2 linked regions of the Ovis aries genome follow. Each later gene encodes a partner of the first gene's protein in a complex. Links are inferred from orthologs where the notes say so. Each region holds a gene or a part of one and is shown in the gene's direction. Other genes may lie near its edges.

What was found.
Region 2: the proteins of KLB (region 1) and FGF19 are in contact, whole or in part, in a crystal structure (PDB 6NFJ), measured with the Homo sapiens proteins. The link is inferred for Ovis aries from reciprocal best matches to the Homo sapiens genes KLB and FGF19. Residues at the interface, in NP_783864.1 of Homo sapiens: Phe379, Lys380, Val392, Leu394, Trp419, Phe420, Thr421, Asp422, Val425, Thr431, Tyr434, Met435, Asn438, Tyr643, Glu693, Arg696, His743, Asn824, Phe826, Met832, Gln848, Phe849, Leu850, Gln851, Ile853, Leu862, Phe931, Phe942; in NP_005108.1 of Homo sapiens: Leu192, Thr194, Asp195, Ser196, Met197, Pro199, Phe200, Leu202, Val203, Thr204, Ser211, Pro212, Ser213.

Annotation. Positions count from the first base shown.
Region 1 is NC_056059.1:59,258,464-59,262,710, forward strand, and holds the start of KLB (beta-klotho), read left to right. Parts: upstream 1-1,447; 5' UTR 1,448-1,550; coding exon 1,551-2,288; intron 2,289-4,247.
Region 2 is NC_056074.1:43,333,373-43,337,440, reverse strand, and holds the start of FGF19 (fibroblast growth factor 19), read left to right. Parts: upstream 1-1,268; 5' UTR 1,269-1,450; coding exon 1,451-1,691; intron 1,692-2,103; coding exon 2,104-2,207; intron 2,208-4,068. UniProt on the Homo sapiens protein: Involved in the suppression of bile acid biosynthesis through down-regulation of CYP7A1 expression, following positive regulation of the JNK and ERK1/2 cascades. Stimulates glucose uptake in adipocytes. Activity requires the presence of KLB and FGFR4.

The DNA of each region.
Region 1 (4,247 bases):
AAATAAAATCAATGGGGGAGTCAGAAAGGCTTTCCAGAAGACGTACTGAAGTTTTGCAGAACGGGTAGACCAGAGCTAACTGAGGTGGGGAGAGCACATCTATGCAGAGAGCACACAGACCAAGGCACAGGGGTAGGGGCAATGGGTGTGTGCAGAGCTCATTAAAGGCTGTTATAGCTGCAGAGAAGACGGTTGCGTGTGGTTCAGATCGTGTGGTTAATGGTTGAGAAATGAAGGTAAACATGTAGGCAGGAGCCAGAACTTAGTGTCTTCTATGCTAAATCCTTGCACCAATTTTTGAATAATCATCACTTTTCACATAGAAATAAGAATGATGTTCATTGAGCACTTACTATGTGTCAGTGTCTATTCAAAGTGCTTTACATGTATTATCTCACAATAATTCAGGTAGCTGATACTATTATTATGCCTTATTGTACATGAAAAGAAACTGAGGTGCAGGAAGCTGAAAAACTTGTCCTCAGCCACACAACCGTTAAACTCAGGCAGTCTAACTGTAGAGGCCAAACCATTAACCGTTCTGCCTCTCACTAGTATGTGATGCTTCAAATTTTTAAAATTTTAATTAATGACCAAATAACCAAGGTCACTTGGAGGCTATAGGTTCTGTACAATACTTATTTCTATTTATTCTTATTCCAGACAATGCTCCTTAAATTTTTCTTTATGTTTTCATATCTACAGGCAGTACACAGCATCACTATTTTCTTTTTCAGTGGGTTTTTTTTTTTGCAATTATTGTGTATTTATTCTTTAAGTGAATTTCCACAATAATTTTGTTGAACTAAAACTTGGGATCAGAGGACTTTGGTTAAAAGTGCATTAAATGTATAAATTAAGTTGGAAATTATTCAGTGTTTCCACCCAGAAAGTGCTGTATATTTCTTCCTTCATTTTTTAATTTATAAATACATTTTTTAAATGTTCTTAAAATAAACAGTAGTTAATAAGATTATTCTTAAATGTGTTATAATTTTCATGCATGTATAATATCTTATGTTTTCTAATTCTTTATTATTGGCATATAGGAATGCTGTTTATTTGTCCATAAAATTGCTTTTTCTGATATGTGAAACATAAAATTACCACTCAAAGCCTACAAAAATAGAAAAGGTATACTCTTTACTCAATAATGTCCAAAACATCCAGAAAAGATTTTCATCACTATGAAAGTCGACAAAGAAACTATGGCATTTCCTTCCTTATTTATATATAAGTTATACATTTGAACTATTTGTCATTGATGCATTTCCATATAATTTTTCCAATAATAAGAGAGAAGGCAACATGCTGGTGAGTGCAATAGAGCCACCTCCCTCAAATTACGTTGCTCTCCCTGACCCATCCTAAGTCTCACAGTTCAAGCTAATCATTGACAGAGCTTTACAATCACAAGCTTTTATACTGAAGCGTTGATAAGACAGTCAAGCAGTTAGTGGCAAATGAAGCCAGGCTGTGCAGCATGATCTCCAGGGAATGAATGGATTTTCTTCAGCACCGATGAAAGAAACATACGCTATAGGAAAACAATGTCCAGCGGGGGACTGCCAAGATCTGTCATCCTGTCAGCGTTTATTCTCCTACGAGCTGTTACTGGATTCTCTGGAGACGGAAGAACTATATGGTCTAAAAATCCTAATTTCAGTCCGGTAAATGAAAGTCAGCTGTTTCTCTATGACACTTTTCCTAAAAACTTTTTCTGGGGCGTTGGGACTGGAGCATTTCAAGTGGAAGGAAATTGGAAGGCAGACGGAAAAGGACCTTCTATATGGGATCACTTCATCCAATCACACCTTAAAAATGTCAACACCACGAATAGTTCCAGTGACAGTTACATTTTTCTGGAAAAGGACCTATCAGCCCTGGATTTTATAGGCGTTTCTTTCTATCAATTTTCAATTTCCTGGCCAAGGCTTTTCCCAGGTGGAATAGTATCAGCTGTCAACGTGAAAGGTCTCCAGTATTACAATACTCTTCTCAATGCTCTGGTACTTAGAAACATTGAACCTATAGTTACTTTATATCATTGGGATTTGCCTTTGGCTCTCCAGGAAAAATATGGGGGGTGGAAAAATGAAACCATAATAGATTTCTTCAATGACTATGCCACATACTGTTTCCAGACATTTGGGGACCGTGTCAAATATTGGATTACAATTCACAACCCATATCTAGTCGCTTGGCATGGGTATGGGACTGGTATCCATGCTCCTGGAGAGAAGGGAAATTTAGCAGCTGTCTACACCGTGGGACACAACCTGATCAAGGTACTGTACAGCTGACTTCATAGTATACTTTCAGAATATAAAGAGCAGGAGTTTAAAAGAAACTGTATGAAAATGTATGTTTCATTTAAATAACTTTTTGCTGAAATTAGCTCAACTAATTGTAGTCTAACTCACAAGTTCTATCCTCAGATTTCATACTTAAGGTAGTGCATGTTTTATTACTGTATTAACACAATTATTTTCCTTAAATATTACACTTTTTAAATTAACTATTTTTAAATCTACAGCTATACATCAGAAAGTGAGAATATGAGTTTACTTTCATTCTGTGGAAAGCCAGTCCTTCATAAATTTAATTGTTGAAACCCTTTTTCTGACCATATGCAACCAATTCAGAACTTAATGTTAAGGCATAACCATTTCAAACATGTATTTGTTGTTGATATTGCTATTCTTAGTGATATTTAGCAATAATGAGGTAGATAAATGTTAGCTAATTGATAATACATATTAAATGCAAGAATTGAAATAAATGTATTCCAGTTGATTTTGTGTTACATGGCAGAAAAGATGAGACTATTTGCTCTAGGAGTTAAAATTAAACTAGTAATATAACAACTGGAAAGAAAATGCTCTACTAAGTGTTTTAAAGGAGTATATTTCAAAACCTAGAGTTTTTGTTGGGAAATGCTAAAATGATTAAAAGAATAGTGAAATGTAAGCAAAATAATAGCTAATATTTTTTGAGAGCTTATTATTTACCACAAATGACATTAAGCATATTATATGTATTATCATATTTAATCCTCATAATAACCTTATGAACTAGGTCCTTTATTATCCCCATTTTAAAGATGAGGAAACTGAAGCTTAGTGAGATTAAATAAGTTGCCTAAGGTTACAGAGTAAAATGAGCTGTTGTGACCATGGAATTTATAAATTACAATATTATTAAACACAGAATATCTATATTAAGAATATTTTTAAAAGAGCAATCTTTCAGGAATTTTCACGTTTTGTCTTATATTGAGGGTAATATCTAGAATCAGGCTTCACTTTTTAATCTAAATAGTTTACGTGGAAAAAATAAATTACTCTGGACACCTGCTACATTTTGAAAATGAAAAAAGCTTTACTAGTAGGGTTTCATAATGTGCTAGGAGAAGTAATTTGATGTTTTAATAATCAAATGTTAAATATATAGAAACAGAAAAATGTATAGGAACATAAAATTACTCCATGTCTAAATTTTCACATACAAAAATACCTGTTAACCCTTCTTTCCTTTTTGAACTTTTTGGATCATTGTACATGTACATTGCACTATGTCTCAGTCACACCTGCCCTTGCAGTTCAGTTAACATATTGCACTACAATCTCAAGGTCATTTATGTACCTTTGACTGTACTTGTATACAGAACAAATATTAATGTATGGGTATACTGTGATTTGGCAAATAGACCTCAAAGGGGAGAAAGCATACAGCTATTAACTATGAAGATTATGCATATATATTTTAGAAAAATATTCCTTTTATTTAGTTCTTTAAATTATTAAAATAATACATGCTCATATAAATTGAGATATAAAGTGAAAAAGTTAAATTTATCCCTCCCTCTGCACCTGATAATCCCAAACTCAAGGAAACTACTGTTAGTAGTATCTCATATAGTCTTTATAAAGCTTTCTATGCAAATATACACGTGTGCATATATGCTTATTTAACCTTTTTATAAATAAAAATATTCTAAATTGTTAAAAAGTTTTTGGTCACCTACCTGGAAAAATGTTAACAATTAGAATTATCATGAAGAATATGTTTCAGTGGTTAATTTAAAGCCCTAAAAACTATCTGATAAAAACACACAGAAAAAAAGTTTTAATTAACAAATAGATAATGTTTCCAAACTTATTCTATCAAAGCTATATTTTCAGATATTTTTCATTTTCCTCTAATTTGAAATAAACTCTGTCTGTAACACAAAATTAGATAGTAAG
Region 2 (4,068 bases), on another chromosome or scaffold:
CCCCACATCCTGGAGTTGAGGGGCAGGTGGTTGGAGGAATAATGAGAAAGAACCAGTGTTGAGCAAGGACCCCTCTCTTTCCCCCAGGAGCATTCTCCGGATGTGGTCTTTTTCTGAGCCTCATCAGAAAAGCCATCCGGTTTGTGGGGTCGGGGATGGGGGGGGAGCCTCTTCACTGGGTGGCTCCAGTTTCCCCAACTGGTGCCTCTCCCCCCTTACACGCCCCCCTCTCCGCAAGCAGCGCCCACCACTGCTGCCCTGCCCCTCCCCATCAGGTAAGGAGCTCCCCTGTTCCTGCCCGCCCCCCGCCCCCCGCCCTGCGAACTGCACGCCCAGCCCCTGGAGAAACTCTCAGGGACCCAAGGACAGCACCCACGACGAAAGACACAGCAAAAACAGAGGAGCTTCCCTGCGCTACGCGCCCTGGAAAGTCAGTTTCCCCTTCTGCAGCTTGCAAGCCCACCCTGCCCCACTCCAGGCGCCCTCCTCCCAGGCTCCGGGTCCAGGGACCTCCGCGGGCCGGGCCCGGCCGATACCTGGGCTGAAGCGCCATCTAGCGCTCGCCCGCGCGACCCTATTGTTCCTCCGAGAGCCCAGGTCGCGCCTGGGCAAGCCGGGGGACAAAGTACTGGCGTGGAACGGGGGGCCAGGCAGGAATCTGAAGAACATAAAGCCGGAGAACGTGAGAGGCTCTGAGCTGCAAGGGGAAAATAAATTCCAGTGGACCCCTCTACCCCCGGGGCTTTGAGGGCTGGGATCGTGGCGTGAGCGAGTGGATGTGGATTGTAGGGGAGGGGGCCCCAAAGCCCAGGCGGGGTGTTCCCCACCGGGAGTGAAGGATGCAAAGCTCAGTGTCCCGCGCCCCAGTCTTTGATGTCGGGACCCCGGCTCCGCGCAGCCCCGGCCAGCGCCCGGAGACTAGTGCATTCCCGGGGGAAGGGGGTTGAAGCCAATGGCCTGGGCGCGGGGGTGATGGTGGGCTCCGCCGTCTCCTTCATTTCTTTACACAATCAAACTCGCCCAGACGGGAGCGACCTGGCCTCGCCCCAGCGCCTCCGGGAGGAGCTGCGAAGTTTCCAGCGAAAGAGGGCCTCCTTCTCTTCCAGATCTGGGCGGGGTCACCCGGGCGGGGCCCAGGGAAAGGCTGGGTCGGGGGGCGGGGTGTGAGTGGGTGTGTGCGAGGGGCGGAGGGCTGATGCAATCCCGATAAGGGCTTCGCATCGCGGGCAGACGCGCTATATAAGGTCGCAGGCCGCCAGCCGCCAGCCGCCGCGCCGTCGGAGCTGGAGAGGTGCCCAGGTGCCCAGAGCGTGCAGCGGTCTCCTGTCTCAAGGGCACGGCCACCCCACCTCCGCACGCTCCGTCCCGCAGGGCCTCGGGGCCGCCGCCCAGCCTCCCGCACCCTCACCACCAGATCTGCGCGCAGAGCTCCGAGCCCGAGGGAGGTGCCATGCGGAGCGCTCCGAGCCGGTGCGCCGTGGCCCGCGCCCTGGTGCTGGCCGGCCTCTGGCTGGCCGCAGCCGGGCGCCCCCTGGCCTTCTCGGATGCGGGGCCGCACGTGCACTACGGCTGGGGCGAGTCGGTTCGCCTGCGGCACCTGTATACCGCGGGCCCTCAGGGCCTCTACAGCTGCTTTCTGCGCATCCACTCCGACGGCGCCGTGGACTGCGCGCAGGTCCAGAGCGCGCACAGTGAGTGCCCGCCGGGCCCCCACCCGTCCCAGCGCCCCTTCTTACCTTTGCCCCCTTCTCGCTCCCGGCACCCCGGCTCTTGGCACTTAGCGATCTACTCCCTCCCCGACCCCCCCCCCACCACCTCCGACTGCGGGAGGAGCTGGGGGAGAGGGCACTGGGTGCGTGGACCTACTGCACCGATGCGCTCCCCTCCCCTTCCCCCACTTCGGCTTCCGCGGACCGCTCCCCCACCCCCATTCCGGGGAACTCCAGGTCTTGGCACCTGGGCGTTGCACTCCCATCCCGAGCCTCCAGACAGGGAGAGGGGCTGGGGGCTTGGGGAGGACGGGCCTGTACACCCACCAACCACTTTCAGGAGTTGTGGGCCGCGCGGGTCCCGGCTGCAGTTTTGTGCTGTTTTCCCGCCCAGGTTTGATGGAGATCAGGGCGGTCGCTCTGAGCACCGTGGCCATCAAGGGCGAGCGCAGCGTGCTGTTCCTCTGCATGGACGCCGACGGCAAGATGCAAGGGCTGGTAGGTGTCTCGGTCCGTCTGGACGCGCGGGAGCGCGAGCCTGCGGGCCAGGGGGGCGCGCAGGGCCACGTTCAGTTTCCTTGTTTGCTCTGTCCGGGCCGGTGTGGAACTAGGAGGGGAAGGCGGCGAGGGCCGGATTACTCTTCGGTCCCACTTTCTAATTTGTAAGTTTATGGAGAACGGGTGAGGCCCCGCCTTTGCATTACCCCTAAACTAGAGGCAGGTCCAGTCGGACGGAGGAAGTCGGCGCTTTGATATTAAACGGGGAACCCACCGTGGGCGTTTTCGGCTTCGCCCTGTGCGCGCGTGGCGCTCGCCTTCCCCCCTCTCCTTGCAGTAGTTTTTTTTTTTTTTTTAAGTGGTGGGTGGGGAGGGGGTGGCTGGGGAGGAAAAAAAGAAAAAGGGTGTATCCACAACTTGGATTTTTTTTTTTTTAAAGTCCGAAGAAAAGTTACACTTGGGATTGAAGAGGCTTTTTAAAATTAATTTTTACCCGCTAAAAAATAGATTATTTTGCAGCCGCGTTGGGGTCCTATTTTCGTGGCCGCACTCATCCTGTCGGGCTCACCTGTACGGCAGAGGCCTCTTTGCGTGGCGGTGGGAGGGCAGGCCCAGGTAGCCAGAGACGTCTGGGGGCAGGAAGTGTGCAGATGCTGGCTCTCTGGTCGCCGGAACAAAGGCTGAGAGTTCAAAGGGAACCTGAGCCCCCCGGGCGCGCAGCGGAGGCTGTGTGAGGTCCCGGCCTGGCGAAGGGCCTCAATGCAGCCCTGCTGGGCCGGGGCTCCGATGGAGGGACAGAGGCCAGGGGGCAGCAGGGGGAGGGAAGGGCGCCGGCCCTCCAGGGATGCCCTCCTTTCCGCAGCTCAGATCTCTTTAGTGTCTCAGTGTTTTTTTTTGTGGCTCTGGTGCCCCTTTATTCTGTTTATCCAGAGATAGATAAACCTGCCTCAGGTTTTATGACATCCCGCGTGAAAGGAGGCAAAGAAAGCTGAAACCCAAAGCCACTCCGAGTCCCGGCAGCTGCAACCCATGTGAGGTTTACTTAGGGGTGGTGGGGGCTTCAGCGACAGAGCTACACACACACACACACACACACACACACACACACACACACACACACACACACACCCCCCACAGGGGCAGCTGGGTCTAACCCATCATCATTCTAATCCAGACTGAGGGTCCCTCAACTAAAATCCTGTTCTGCCTCTAGGTCCTGTGGTCACTGTTTAGCAAAACTTGAAGATTAAAAAAAATAAACAATTCCACATCCTCCCAGAAACTTGAAGTCCGTTTCATTCTCTCTTTGGCAAATGAGATGTCAGTTTCTCCTCAAGAACCAGAAGAGTGAAAATAGTCACTCTATTTGATTTTAATTCCCTTGTTTATCAATTTGCATTTCTCCCCTCGGTCTGGTGGCCTTATTCCCCCGCACGGGAGCTGGGCATATTGCTTCATTGGATGCAGGCCTTATCAGGGCCTTATCTAAGCTCACCTGCAGTGAAGCGACCTTTGTAGGCCTGGGCAGAAATGAGACTGGGTGCCTCCCAGGGCAGTTTATGGCCGAGCCCTCTTGGCTCCCCGCCTTTGGCTGTGCTCTTGGGTCTTGAAGACAAACTGACCCTCTACATTTGGGACGCCACCGGCTCACTCTGAATGTTCTGCCTTCCGACTTTGTGGCCACCCACGGGGTGCAGGCTTCCTCCTGGCCTAGGGGGAGGGGGCTGCCTTTATCTCCACGATCCTGGCAGGCTGCCTGGAGGGCAGCTACTGAATAAAGGAGCCAGAGGGACTGAGGTTTCTCTTACCAGAGCTGCAGACAAAAAGGCTCAAGACTACAGTCATTTGGGTCTAAATGGGA